3 linked regions of the Rattus norvegicus genome follow. The protein of the gene in region 1 binds, or shares a complex with, the protein of each later gene. Links are inferred from orthologs where the notes say so. Each region holds a gene or a part of one and is shown on either strand. Other genes may lie near its edges.

What was found. The genes of interacting proteins can lie anywhere in the genome.
Region 2: the proteins of Pparg (region 1) and Nfkbib are in contact, whole or in part, in a crystal structure (PDB 9CK0), measured with the Homo sapiens proteins. The link is inferred for Rattus norvegicus from reciprocal best matches to the Homo sapiens genes PPARG and NFKBIB. Residues at the interface, in NP_056953.2 of Homo sapiens: Gln322, Thr325, Lys329, Phe334, Leu339, Gln342, Val343, Leu346, Lys347, Leu496, Glu499, Ile500; in NP_002494.2 of Homo sapiens: Asn286, Pro287, Ile288, Leu289, Ala290, Leu292, Leu293, Arg294, Ala295.
Region 3: the proteins of Pparg (region 1) and Crebbp are in contact, whole or in part, in a crystal structure (PDB 7RLE), measured with the Homo sapiens proteins. The link is inferred for Rattus norvegicus from reciprocal best matches to the Homo sapiens genes PPARG and CREBBP. Residues at the interface, in NP_056953.2 of Homo sapiens: Val321, Gln322, Thr325, Glu326, Lys329, Phe334, Val335, Leu339, Asn340, Gln342, Val343, Thr344, Leu346, Lys347, Leu496, Glu499, Ile500, Lys502; in NP_004371.2 of Homo sapiens: Asp62, Ala63, Ala64, Lys66, His67, Lys68, Gln69, Leu70, Ser71, Leu73, Leu74, Arg75.

The regions. Positions count from the first base shown.
Region 1 is NC_086022.1:150,094,110-150,098,746, reverse strand, and holds the start of Pparg (peroxisome proliferator-activated receptor gamma), read right to left. Parts: upstream 2,917-4,637; 5' UTR 2,613-2,916; intron 1,690-2,612; exon of another isoform or gene 1,564-1,689; intron 1-1,563. UniProt on the Homo sapiens protein: Nuclear receptor that binds peroxisome proliferators such as hypolipidemic drugs and fatty acids.
Region 2 is NC_086019.1:93,178,293-93,182,754, forward strand, and holds the start of Nfkbib (NF-kappa-B inhibitor beta), read right to left. Parts: upstream 3,096-4,462; 5' UTR 2,837-3,095; coding exon 2,658-2,836; intron 1-2,657. Other genes in the region: Sirt2 (NAD-dependent protein deacetylase sirtuin-2), read left to right, coding at 3,265-3,280, 4,034-4,080. UniProt on the Homo sapiens protein: Inhibits NF-kappa-B by complexing with and trapping it in the cytoplasm.
Region 3 is NC_086028.1:11,840,718-11,845,434, forward strand, and holds the start of Crebbp (histone lysine acetyltransferase CREBBP), read left to right. Parts: upstream 1-1,622; 5' UTR 1,623-1,645; coding exon 1,646-1,730; intron 1,731-4,717. UniProt on the Homo sapiens protein: Acetylates histones, giving a specific tag for transcriptional activation. Mediates acetylation of histone H3 at 'Lys-18' and 'Lys-27' (H3K18ac and H3K27ac, respectively).

The DNA.
Region 1 (4,637 bases):
ATCCATATTCATGTTTTCACAGGGCCCACACAGAAGGATCTTGAGAAGACTGATGGCATACTCTTCTTTTCAGAGACTTAAAAGTGAAAAAAAAATCATTTGTTTAAATATGTAAAACTTACTAACTGAACACAATCACTTGCATACTCAGTAATCCATTTCTACGTCAAAAATGTAAAGTCATGCTTTTATCATATATGAATTTTAAATGTCAAAGGGACTTTGAAACTAATGATATGATTTTTTTTTTAGTGTGACTTTCCCTTTTTTGTTAAAGTGACGCTGAGATATGTAGTGACGTGAATGCTAAGAAAACCAGTTCCTTTAAAGGAAATGTACTGAATTATTAAAAATAGTTATCACAAAAACCATCAAAGTAGTCTTAAATATTGATGTGTATGATGCTTCTGGGTCTTTTAGTTCTAATTTGTTTTAAAGAGCTTATATTCTTTTAGATATGAAAGGGTGAGGACACAGCATGTAAAAACTCCTTGGTCTAGAGGTACCCAGAACTTCAGACTTCACGGCGCCATTGTTCTTCAGCAGTTTTAAGAGTTTGAAACTTTTACATATGAAAAAGATTTTTTTCCTTAAAAATAAAACTGTCGACAATCTTTTCCCTTCTAGTGAGCTGCAGAATATTGAGATGGCCACCAGTTGCTTTTCAGATCTTCTCACTGAAGATACAAGTCTCAGCAAATTAAAATATTGAGGTAGCACTTAAACGAGCAAATTCACACAAAACACACAGTAAAATAAAAATGGATGGCTTTGTAATATGCTTCACTCCAACTAATGCATGACACTGACTTCAAATTTCCGTATATTAAAATTAATATTTTGGACATTTACTTTAGAGCAAATGCGGTTGAAGATAAGGCCACAGAGAACTTATTTTAAAGTCGAAACCGAATCTTCTGAAACATCGCTTCCAAGTGCTCTTAGCATCTATGAGCGCGTCTGTTAAACATTCAAGAGAAGTATCTCTTTGAGAAGTCACAATGTATGTCAGCTCCTACCCTAGCCAGGCTTTAAATCACATAGCACCTGGACCTAGCTATATTTTTAGTCAGCAGTTGATCACTTAGCTATGGACAGGAGGACTCCCACAGAGCACCTGATATCTTTGGAAGACCTGCCCAAGTCCAAGACTAAGTTATTCATTTAATAACTCCGGTTAACAATTTGCTTTGTGCATGATAATAAAGAGTTGACATTATGATAATGAACTCCAAATCAAGAAAGAGGCTTTCCAACTGTTAGTTACCCTCCAACTTGGTTCATCTGGTTTTGTTTTCAAATGATCATTTCAATTTACATTTTTGTCCTTCATTCTGCTAAAGAAGAACAACTTTAGCTTCTGCCTGACAGAAAACTCAACTCTTGATTTTTTTCCTCCTCCTGAAGTAAATGACACGACCTTCCCACCGTTAGCATCAGAAGCGAAGCAGATTCTTACAGTACAAGAACACAGCCAAACCATCCTGATGTGTAAGAACTTGGGGCAGTTTGGCCACTTCACAACACCCTCTAACAAAGTGCCATGACGATGCAGCCACTCACCTACTCAATGGGAGTTAAGATGAATTTAGCGCTGCAGCCTTCTGATCACCAGCAGAGGTCCAGGCCCCTTCTTGACCTCCTCGAGTCCCTTATATAAAAGCAGCCCAGGCTACTCCCAGTTTCTGCCTCCTCACCTTAGGCTCCTCCCCACTCCCAAGCCATAAAGCACCGGAGCCACACACCCACCTTCCACCCCCACCACGAGGGCTGCCTACTCCAGTTAGCCCTGCCCTGTGCTCGCCCCCTTCCTAGGCTGAAGAGGGGCACTGGTGGGGCGGGGCCTTGGCGACAGTGACCCCATTTTCCTCACACCTGGCGAGCCCCGGGCGGGCGGGAGCCCCGGGCCAAGTTGCTTAGACGATCACCGGCGCACCCTCCTCCCCCCACCCCCAGCGCCTCGGGGTACCCGGTGGCTACTGGCGAGCCCCTCTCTGAAAACTGTCACCAGATCCACACAATGCGGCCTCCCGCGGGAGTTCTGGACCGTGCGGAGACCTGGCTTTCCTGTCAGGGTCGGGCTGCCCGGGCTACCCTGCTCCGAGCTCGCACACGCCTGCCGGAGCACCTTCTGAGGAAACCTGAGGTGGCTCCACTGTGGCCCTCCGGGCCTGCCGGGCCGTGCCCCTCACGAGGACATTCACCTTGTCAGTCACACTCGGCTCTCTAGGCGGGTGACCGGTCCTCAGCCGAGACCCCTCACTCCGACCCCGCCCCGCTATCACGCTCTCTCACTCTTCTCCTAAGTGACTTCTCCTCAGACCGCATCCCCCTCAGACCCAGACTCGATCACCTTGTCTGTCACATTTGGTCCTGTCAAGAGTATGACTTCTCCTCAGTCCCCTCAGTTAAGATTCCGTCACTTTGTCTGTCACGCTCCGTCCTGTCAGAGTGCGACTTTCCAGCCCACGTCCCCTCTAGTTGAGACAGGATTAGGCTGTCAGTTACACAGTCCTGACAGAGAGTGGCTTCTCCTCATCCCGCGTCCCCTCAGCCGAGACCCAGTCACCTAGACAGTCAGATCCAGTCCCCACAGGCCGAGGCCCCCTCACCTTGTCTGTCACACAGTCCGGTCAGAAAGTGACTTCTCAGCCCGCGTCCCCTCAGCCGAGAGAGACCTCGTCAGGCTGTCAGTCTCACCGGGTCCTGTCTGAGTATGACTTCTCCTCAGCCCGTCCCCTCAGCCTGGTCACCTTGTCGTCACACTCAGTCCCCTCAGGCCTCACACGACCCGGTACCCCAGTGCGGCGCCCCAGGTCTCTTCTTCAGCGTCCCTGCGGCGGGCCTTGTGGCCCGGGGCGACTCTGACCTGAGGCGGCGGCTTGGCGGGCAATGTGCGTCCGTGCGGCCGACCCGACCCGAGCGCCCCAGGCGGCGGCCGCTCCGAGTGCGACCGCCCCGCCTGGCCGCGGACGAGCCGAGCTGAGCGACCCGGCCGGACCGGGGGCGGTGCCCAGGGAGAGGCCGGAGGCCCCGCACCCGCAACCAGAGGCCGGCGCCCACGAGACCCGCGTGGCTCTTCAGCGCCCGGCACCCCGCGCTGGTTACCTGGCCGCCTTGCTCCTCACAGTCGCTGGGAGGCGACCCAAGAAGGTCCCACGTTCCTCAGACAGATGCCCATGGCCCGGCTGGTGCCCTGACTGTCACGCAGAAGTTTGTTTTTTTCTAGATGTACTTTTCAGTAACATTTAAAAATAATAATAATAACAATAATAATATAAATTAAGTATATTTAGGATCTCTTTTTATTTTTATTTTTACTCTCAGAACAATATGAAGGAGAACACCTTCATAAACTGACTTTGTGTTAACCATTTAATTTCCTTTTAAATACAATTTTGTGTGTGTGTGTGTGTGTATGTGTACTGAGAGGCATGGTCTCTCTGGGGCTGGAGTTACAAGTGGTTGGTTGGTGCTGGGAACTGAACAAGGGTCCTCTGGACAAACACTAAGTGTTCCTAACCTCTGAGCTGTCTCTCCTGCCCTCAAACTATTTGTTAACCTTGTTCACTAAAGAACAATTAAGAATTTTTAGAATTCTTTAGCACCATTTCTTGCATGGGGGACCTTACACACAGTGTGGAAAGGACTTGGGAATCTCTTGTTTTTAGTTAGAATTTTGGAGCATCTTGTCTCAGGAGCCTGAAGCATGCATGATGGACAGTTCCTTTTCTTGCCCTCTTTCAGCTCTTTCTGTCATGATCTGTCCTAAAGATGCACATTCAGAAAGCCGTCGATGTTCAGGACACCAGAGGACTTTCTTTTACCCTTTCCAATCTTATTGATGAAAATCTTGTTCTATGGCTCTCCTTTGGGAGGTACTGACCTTTGGGAGTTTATAATTGTGCTTCTTGCTCAGGATGCTCCTCCACTCTTAGCATCTTTGTTTGTTGGGAGACAGGGAATTCTTTATTCTTCTGGTACTAAACATCCTCACCAGGGGTTTGTAAGTATGACACTATAATGAAAGCTCAGAGCTTGAATCAACAGATTCATGTCCTTCCACCCTAAAGCCCTCAAATAATAAGACACAGATCAGGTTCATATAGGGACTCTAAAGCCCATTTTACTAACCACACAGAGACTCCATTTCTATGCCTGTCAGTAAGTAATCATGTTGACTTGGGTCAGCATCCCACACTCAGCGGGAAGTACGCATGTGTGTACATGTATGTAGTAAATATGTAGCCAACTTCTTGCTCATGCAGGAGTTCCGATCTACTTTTGTTTTGTTTTTGTTTTGAACTTTTGACTAAGCTTTTTGAAAAGGTTTTGCTATGTTGCCCTGGCTGCCTTGAACTCACTGTGATTCTCCTGAGGCTTATCCCCTTGTGTCAGTTTAATATCTTTATTGAAATATAATTCATATAATCTAAGATTCAAATATCATACCTTCAAAATTCCCACATTGAGTTTTGGCCTCTTTACAAAATTGTGTCATTATTGTCATAATCTAATTTTAGAACATTTTTATCACCCTGTGGAGAAACTTCCTCTTCATAAACAGTCATTCTCATTGGCCCTTGGTTCACCATCCATGTACTTTCTGTCTGGATAGACTCTTTCTATCCAAGACA
Region 2 (4,462 bases), on another chromosome or scaffold:
CAGGCAGGAAGGCCAAGAGTTTAAGGCTAGGGTAGGAGGGATGGCTCAGCAGTTAAGAGCACTGATTGCTCTTCCAGAGGTCTTGAGTTCAATTCCCAGCAACCACATGGTGGCTCCCAACCATCTGTAATGGGGTCTGATGCCCTCTTCTGGTGTGTCTGAAGACAGCTACAGTGTACTTATATATAATAAATAAATAAACCTTTAAAAACAAAAAAACCACTTGTTGCTCTTGCAGAGGACCCAGACTTGATTTCCAGCACCTACATTGTGGCTCACAGCCATCCCTACCTCCAGTTCCAGGGGCTCCAACAAGCACAAACACAGTCCACATACATGTACACAGGTAAAACAGTCATACGCATAAAGTAAATTATTTGGAAGGTAATGGCAAATGTATCTCTGAGTTCAAGGCCAGTTTGGTCTGCAGAAAGAGTTCTGGGACAGTCTGGGCTACACAGAGAAACCCTATCTCAAAACAAAAACAAAAACAAAAAACAACAACAACAAAAAACAAATAAAATAAAATAAACCAAAGACAAGTTTCATAGTGTGGACAGAATTTCTTAAAGGCAACACCTGTCGATAAAAAAAAGCCTATGGCCAATGAGCTGAGGGAGGAAACAGGTGGGACACTGCCAGGAAGAGAGAGAGAATTCTGGGAAATGGTGAGGAAAAAAGGGAGATGCAGGGAGAGGCACTGGAGGGGTCACTGAGACACTGAGAAAGACGACGCTAAGGAAGAGGCAGGCTGGAGACTGCAGGAAAGGTAACCACGTGGAAGACATAGGATAGTTTGAATGCGTTAAATAGGTTATAAGTTAGCCAGGGAATGAGCCAAAGCTTGTAGCCAAGGCATTTATTAATGAATAATTAGTGCCAGAGTCCTTGTTGGGAGCTAAATGGCTGAATCAATTATTTTTATTATTTTTTACAGTAGTGTTCAAGGCTAGCCTGGGCTACATAGTAAGACACTGACGAAAAAGGGGGTGGAGTGGGTGGCTGGGGAACTATTTTGTAAGTAAAGCACAGTGACCTTAGTTCAGAACCCACATAAAAAAAAGCTGGGTGTGGTTGTAAGTATTTATAATCCTAACACTAGGAGATCCCTGGAGTAGAGCACAGAGGCGCACACCTTTGGTCCCAGCACTCAGGACATAGAGGCAGATGGATCTTTATGAGTTTGAGGCCAGTCTGGTCTACATAGTGAGTTCCAGGTCAGCCACCCTGTCTCAAAGAGGAGGAGGAGGGTGGGGAGCAAGAGACAAGGTTCTCTCAGGCCAGCTAGTCTAGCCTATGTGGTTAGTGCGAACACACACACACACACACACACACACACACACACACACACACACACGCACATCCCTGAGCTGGATGTAGTGATACACACTTGGGAGGTGGACACAGGAGAATGAAAAGTTCAAAGCCATCCTCAGCTACAACCTGAAGGCTAGCATGGGCTACACAAGACTGTCAAAAACAAACAAGCAAAACAAAACAAAACAAAACAAAAAAAAAAAAAAAAAGAGGGGGGTTGGGGATTTAGCTCAGTGGTAGAGCGCTTGCCTAGGAAGCGCAAGGCCCTGGGTTCGGTCCCCAGCTCCGAAAAAAAGAACAAAAAAAAAAAAAAAAAGGATAAAGAAATTACAAAAATTAAATAACCAGAGGGAAACAATAAAGGAACAAGGGCCAATAAAGTAGAAAGTGAAAAATTAGAAAATTAAGGAAACTACTCCTGGCTCTTTAAGATGAGTGTTTATTGGGTTCCCCTCATGGGTCAGGCACTGAGTCACTGGGTATACGCAATGAGCACAAAGGACAAGAAAATCCCGGGTACACTCCCTTACACACACTGTCACCACAGCCATCCCTTCTCCCCAGTTTATCTACTAATCAACATTTCCTGCTCCACACCCCCCCCCCAGGCTCCCTCTCCTCCTTTTCCTTATCCCTCCTTTTTGATACCGGTCTTCCCAGGCTCTCCTCAGACTAGCAATCCTCCTGCCTCAGCCCCTTAAGAGCTGGGATGACAAGTGTGTACCACCACATTCAGCTAAACTAAAACCAGGGATTGAAAGGTGGTAGTTAGGGAGAGACGTTTGGCTAACAGATGAATCCATCTTCATAGAATCGAGCTTCTAAATTTTATGTAGCTCTGGCTGGCCGGCATCTCAATCAGGTGGCCCCAAACTCACAGAGATCAACCTGCCTTTGCCTCCCAACTTCTGTGAGGCCCATGACACCCAGTAGCTCGGTTTCTCAATTGCAGGGTCAGTGCTGGATGTGTCAGCGTCGTAGACTCAGGGTCAAGAATTAATTTTGGAAATCAAAATCTGGCTTATACAAGAATAGCCAAAGACCAAAGACCACATCTGGAAGCAAGAGGTCAGAAGATGTGGGAACTAGAGTGGTCAGAAAGGTTCAGACCCGATTTGGGGATCGTAAGCTCAAATTTAAGAGTTCAGAAAAGTTGAGACACTTGACTGTGAGTGAAAACGGACTAGTCTCACAATTTAGTGATTGGTGGTTATGGGTCAGGAAGTCCAGCATCAGAAATCAGAGTTAGGAACGAGAAGATAAGAAGCCACAGAAATCATAGGCTAATGGAGACTCAGGTAAGATCCCTAGGGTAAATTGGTAATTTAAGGTTTACTCACGTGTCCCCATCCTCAGTGACGTAGCCAAAGACTAAGGGCGCCCAAGACAGCTCTGGGCTAAGCTCTGCGACCAGACCTGGTCCTCCGGGAGCTGCTGCGTCGGGACCTAGAGAGCCCAGGCCACTGTCGCACCATTCATCGGCGTCTGCAGTTTTCCCCAAGCACGCGACCCCGGCCATTGCCCCTGCCACCTCGGGTGGCCCCCTGCGGTCGCCTGCCTGACGCTGGGTTCTGCCGAGAGCTCCAGCGCTTCCGCCCTATTGGGAATTCCCCAACACGCCCCCTCATATACCCAATCAAACTGTGTTAAATAGCCACACCCCGCCTCTGTACTGCACCAGAACCAATCAGAATAATGAGATGGACATTCGCTCGCTGAGTTTCCCCAGATTTTCCAGACGCCCTTTATTAATATGGCCGCCGGCGCCAAGCCTTTTGGGATTTGTAGTTTGATAACGTGAGGGGAGCACCGTATGAAAGCGGTTACGGGACCGCGTTGCCTGTCGGGAGTTGTATTTTTCTATCCTCTCTCGGCTCCTTCTTGTTTCCGCTGCCGTCACGGGACAGAGCAGTCGGTGACAGTCCCGAGAGCCCCCACCCCGTTCCCATGGCCGAGCCGGACCGTGAGTTAGGGGCCCTGGTGGGAGGGTGGGAGGGTCGGGCCGCGCCGGGGCCTGGCTTTGGGCTGCAGGCCCCGGGGCCCGCGGGCAGGTCGGTGGGGTGGGAGACAGAGGCTGCCTGAAGGGAGTGGGATTCGGAGGGCTGTTGCTAAGTGGTCGATATTGCTAGGTTGGTGGGTTTCTGGATTGTGAAATTTAAGGGTCCATTTGCAAAGTTTTGAATGATCGCGTTTCTCGCACTTTGGTTGCTGAGGACCCTCGTTGCTAAGGACCAAAGTTACCACGATCCCGGTTGCTAAGGTTGCCTGTTGTTAAGGGCAACTATAGTATGTTTGGGGACCCCTGCGGCCCCTTTCTATCTCATTCCTTCAGTTCTTGTGCCTCTCCTAAACCTCCCACCTTCACTGCATCTCCTCTCCCACACTCAACTCTCAGCAGAAGTATCCCTACTTAACATCTCTTGAAAAACTTAGCCCTCCCTCATTCTCCTGGCTCGCACTCGCTACCTTATCCTGCTTAACTCTGAAACCTTCCTTCAGTCCCGTTTCACCTGCTTTTTCCTCCCAAACCTTCCCCTCCTCACACATTCCTCCACTCTAAAACATGCCTTTCCCCATCTCCAATAGTTTTACTACCATCCATGACTCCAGGATAATTAGGTTGGTGGGTCCTATTGTCGCCTCCACCACTGTGAACCCTTCATCTGCTTAACTATTTCCCCCCACTGTAACCACGTCTGCTCCCCCTCCTCCCCAGCCTCTGACCCTCTGGAGAACCAGGCAGGGAAGGTGCAGGAGGCTCAGGTGAGATGGGGAAAAGGGTGGAGGGAAGGAGAGAAATGGACGTGGTTCCACATGCCGCACTGGGGGAGGTGCAAGGGAAGGCTTTTACCCAAGGGCCCTTGGCTTATGGCCCTGATCCCTAAACCCATCTGGGGATTAGTACAGCTCCTGGGAGAATGGCGGCTTCTGGGGACTGTCAAGGAAAATGTATAGCCTCAACCCCTGGTTCCCTTCCATATTGTCCTCATCTCCTATTGTTGCCCCGCCTATCCTCAATCCCTTCTGAACCTCATTTGTGCTAGACCTGGAAAAGACAGTGTTCCAGTTTGATCCCCAAACTCAGGGAGTATGGGGTTGGGGAAAGGACCCTCTAGGGCTCATAAAAGTACTGAAGCTGGCTGTG
Region 3 (4,717 bases), on another chromosome or scaffold:
TACATTCTTTTGGGAGCCTGCCAGAGCCAGAGTGGTTGTCTGAAGTGAGGAGCACCCCTAAAACATCGAAGCCCTTGGTCATGGCACCCGGGCCCTTCTCAGATCCAGGAGGTAGAGCCGACAGCTTCTTCCTTCAGGTGACAGCGTTGGACCTGGCTCCAATCGTTTTGGGCTTGGGAGTGGACACTAAAAAGCCTCGCAGTGCCCTTGCTAAACTTGGGGAGAACAAGGGGTGGACTCTTGTCCAGTCATATTCTCCCTGGTGATCTCGGAAAAAAGTTGCTTTTCCCCCTTCCTGCCTCAGTTTCCCTATCTGCACACAGAGCTGAGGACCTTCTGTAACCTGCAGGCGCCACTAAGCCATCACTAACAGGGCGAGGGGAAGAGGCGCAGGTTGCTCAGGCGTCTTCCCAGTCCGATGTCACACTGGAGGCTTGCGAGCTAGGAGGCGAGGAGCCAGCTGCGAAGAGGGAGAGCTGCCGGGGCAGGACCGGACGGGCAGGGCCCGGATCAGCGCCGACTCCGCGCCCAGGGGCCTAGGCTCGAGCCCAGGGCGCCCTCCCCGCTCGTGCCGCCTTTCTGACACCGTCAGAACAAAAGTGGCCGTCTGCTTTGCGCCCTTCGCGTCCCGCAGGCCCGGCCCAGCGCCTCAGCCCGTCGCCTCACGCACTGCCGCCGCGCCTTCGACCCTTCCACCCGAGCGCACTCGGCTCTTTCCGCCGCGGCCGGCGCAGGTGGAGGGGGCGGGGCGGGGGCCGTGCGTGGTGACGCCGCGGGGGGTGACGTACAGGCGTGCCCCGCCCCCTCCCCCTCCCCGTTCAGGCTCTGGAAAGAGAAGAAAAAAAACTTTCTTTTTTTTTTAATTGAGGAATCAACAGCCGCCATCTTGTCGCGGATCCGACCGGGGCTTCGAGCGCGATCTACTCGGCCCCGCCGGTCCCGGGCCCCACAACCGCCCGCGCACCCCGCTCTGCCTGGCCGGCCCGCTCCGCCCGGCCCTCGGCGCCCGCCCCGGCGGCCCCGCTCGCCTCTCGTCTCGGCCTCCCGGAGCCCGGCGGCGGCCGCGGCGGCGGCGGCGGCCGCGGCGGCGGCGGCACGGGGTGGGGGGGCCGCGGCGCGGCGGCGGCCCCGCTCGGCGCATTGTTTTTCCTCACGGCGGCGGCGGGCCGCGGGCGGGCGGCGGAGCCCAGAGCCCCCCGGTCGTCCGGCCGCGGGCGAATTCATTAAGTGGGGCGCGCGCGGTGGGGGGGCAGCGAGGCGGCGGCGGCGGTACCACCATGTTCCCGGGCGCCGCCTGAGCCGCGGGGCCGGGCGCCGTCGCTGCCAGCCGGGCCCGCGGAGGCGGCCGGGCCGCTTGGGTGCCCGGGCCGCGGAGTGTCGCGCTCGGGAGGCGGGCAGGGGATGAGGGGGCCGCGGCCGGCGGCGGCGGCGGCGGCCGGGGGCGGGCGGTGAGCGCTGCGGGGCGCTGTTGCTGAGGCTGAGATTTGGCCGCCGCCTCCCCCACCCGGCCTGCGCCCTCCGCGGCCCGGCCCGCGCTCCTGCGCTCGCTCTTCGCTGGCTAGCCTGCTCGCTGCCGCCGGCCCGACCCCCGTCCGGGCCGCGTCGCGCCGCCCGCGCTTAGGGCTGTTTCCGCGAGCAGGTGAAGATGGCCGAGAACTTGCTGGACGGACCGCCCAACCCCAAACGAGCCAAACTCAGCTCGCCCGGCTTCTCCGCGAATGACAGCACAGGTGAGGTTGGCCAGGCTCGCTGTCAAGAATCCGCCGTGGGGAGGGAGCTGAGGGTCGCAGTGGCGGGAGACTCTGTCCCGGGCCTTGGATGCGCTTCCCTGCTGGGGAGGAAAAGTGAAGCGGGGGCGCGGCCGAGTGTCCGCACGCGTGGCCGGCCAGGATGACAGCGGAGGGGACCTTGGAGGTTTGGAGTGAGAGAATGCGACCAGAGGTAATGAAAGCTTTCAGGATCGGAACCCCACTCTAGGCGCTGCAGTCGCGGACACAGCTGCTGCCTTCTTACGAGTTGCGACTGAGAAGTTTCTTGGAATGTGTTGCTTGGGAAAACGCTTAGTGGTTATTTAGAAACTCTTGATTTTTTTTTTTTTGATCACCTAGTATTTTTTTTTTCAAAACCCCAAACCTCACTTGCGAGTTGTCATCAAAGTTGCTGTGGTGTCTTTCATTTACATACGTAACCTTAAAAAGAAGCTAGCAGGCTTTTAAAAGTCCATTTGGCCTCAGTCTGCCTTTGAGGTTGAGATGGTTTTACAGTGAAGATGTAAAATTAAAAAAATTAAGGACTTTAAATCTTTCAGGGAAAAAGAAAAAAGCGAGATACTCTTAAATCTTTTCCCCGACTCACTAAATAGCTTCCTTTCAAACTTTCTTAGGTGATCGTATCAGGTCGCCAAGAGTTTTCTGTTCGTTCAGTAATTCAGAGTTCTCTGGATAGCTCTATGATAACCTTGCCAATGATTCGAATTTCCTCTTTTAAGCTCTTCTTCCAAATTAAAAAAAGAAAAAGAAAAAAAAACTTGTACGCTGCTGCAAACAATGCCGGCTTAGCGCAGCTAGCATTTCTCTAGTACGTACTTGTAGCGGCATCTGAAAACCAGTTTCTGATGAATGGGTCGAAATCAAATTACATTGCTGCCTGCAGATTGGCGCTAGACACAGATGTTCAAGTTGTGGAACTTTATGCGACTTTATATAAGAATATTAAAAATATTTCTACTGTGAAACAAAGCTTCGATTTCATGGCTTCAGTTTGAATAGTATTCCTGGAATCCAGTCATGAAAGGAGACGGGTAACATTGGTTAATGTAGAAATGAGAGGGGAGTGTTCTCCCTCCTCCATCACTTTTCAGAAGATTTTTGTTGACTTAAAACTTGTTGAGCAGTAGGAAGGAGTAAATAAGTGAACGATTCATAGGTAGGTAGGGAAAAGCCACTGATGGTGCTTTTACTTTTAAATGACAAGTTGAGTTTGATGTTTATTTTCATAAAGATCTTAACTTATTGATGAGAATTGTGGAAACGGTGGTTAAGTACACTTCTACAGAATAGAGCTGGCTCCCTTGCTTTAGTAATCTTGCTATGCTTGAGCCAGAAGACTGTAATCATGTGAAATGTAGATCATACCAGACAAGTTTCGTCCTGAAGTTTATCCTCTGACACTGGTAACTTGAAGACTTTACAGCTTTGCTGTTACAGAGTGAGGTTGTTGTAGATTTTTTTCTTAAAGTGGGGCAAATTAATAAGACCATAAAAAGGCCTGTAGTATCTTATAAATCCAGAAGTTTACAAGATGGAACCCAAAAGATGGCTTCTCCTCCTCTTCTTCCTCCTCTTCCTCCTCCTCTTCTTCCTCCTCTTCTTCCTCCTCCTCTTCTTCTTCTTCTCTCTCCTTCTCCTCCTCTTTTTTATTTATTTATTTTTTTTTTTGCACAGCTTCTCTAACTGGACCGTCGGATATTAATGTGTTGCTAACCAGAGCAGAACTTATCAGAAAGGATCTTCTGCACTTAAGCACTTTGTCCTTTTCCAATTTTTACCCAGGAGAAGCCGAATTGTACTTTCACATTTACAAATATATGAAACAAACAGTAGCAGTTTCTAATGATTCTGATTTAAATGATCAGAGAATAAGATGGCATTCATATTTGAGTCTTTGGTTCCATGAAATGCATCATCACATTGTCTTGTGCTCTGAGGAAGGAGCCATTATTGAATACAGTAAATGAGGTGAAACCTTGTTAAGAATAACTATTAGTCTAAGATCCAGTAATGAGATAGACAGACCTTAAAGATGTAAGTTAAGCAAATAAATGGCTGAGGTATATACGTTAAATATGTTTAAAACAGTGAAGGCTGGAATAGAGACAGATAACATTATTGAGAAAAATTCAATCTTGTTTTATTGAGGAATTGTATCTCAGGCCTCAGAGAGGAGATTGGGCTGGGGTAGGCAAGGTGTGTGTTCTGAGCACTAATTTGAGGGAGGGAATACAAGGAGAGGGAGCAGAGAGTCCTAGCACTGAGAAACAGCTGCTGCTTGAACTATTGTGATACAGGCCACATCTTTGGGGACTGTGTTGTGAATCCATCAAGTGCATTTTAGTTGTGTTTTTAGGGATGATTGTGTGGAAAAGAGAGTGCCCTTGTTAAAGAGGGAAGCTTCCCAGGCCTACGGAGTACTTGAAGTTCACCAAGGGGAGTGTCCATGTATGCATAAACCACTCCACTAGGGGCCAGGCAGTATCTGAGTGATGATTGCCTTTGTTACTCAAGATGGGGGAGAGCACACAGAGGAAGAGGGAAGGTGCCTGGAGGAGGGTAGCAAGAGGAAGGAGAAACTGCTCTTCATCTCACCACAGGCACTTCTGGAGTGGCAGAGAGTCAGACTGTATCAGATGGTGGTGAGATACTGTTTTCTTGTTCTGTGTTGAAGTGTCAAGCACTTTGTGAGAAGCAGGGGACTGACTTTATGTTATGAGTATGTAGTTGGTCATGTATTTTGGACTTTCTCTTGATATGTCCAAATTAAAATAGCTTACTTTAGAATCTTTTAACACCATAGATTCATTGATTGAACAGTATAGAAAATAATAAATACTCAGGCAAATAGGCTTTTTTTTTTTTGCAAATGGCTTTTTTAAAACATACATAATTGGCAGTTCATACATTTATGAAGGTGGTTTTTTTATTATTTATATTTTTCTGTT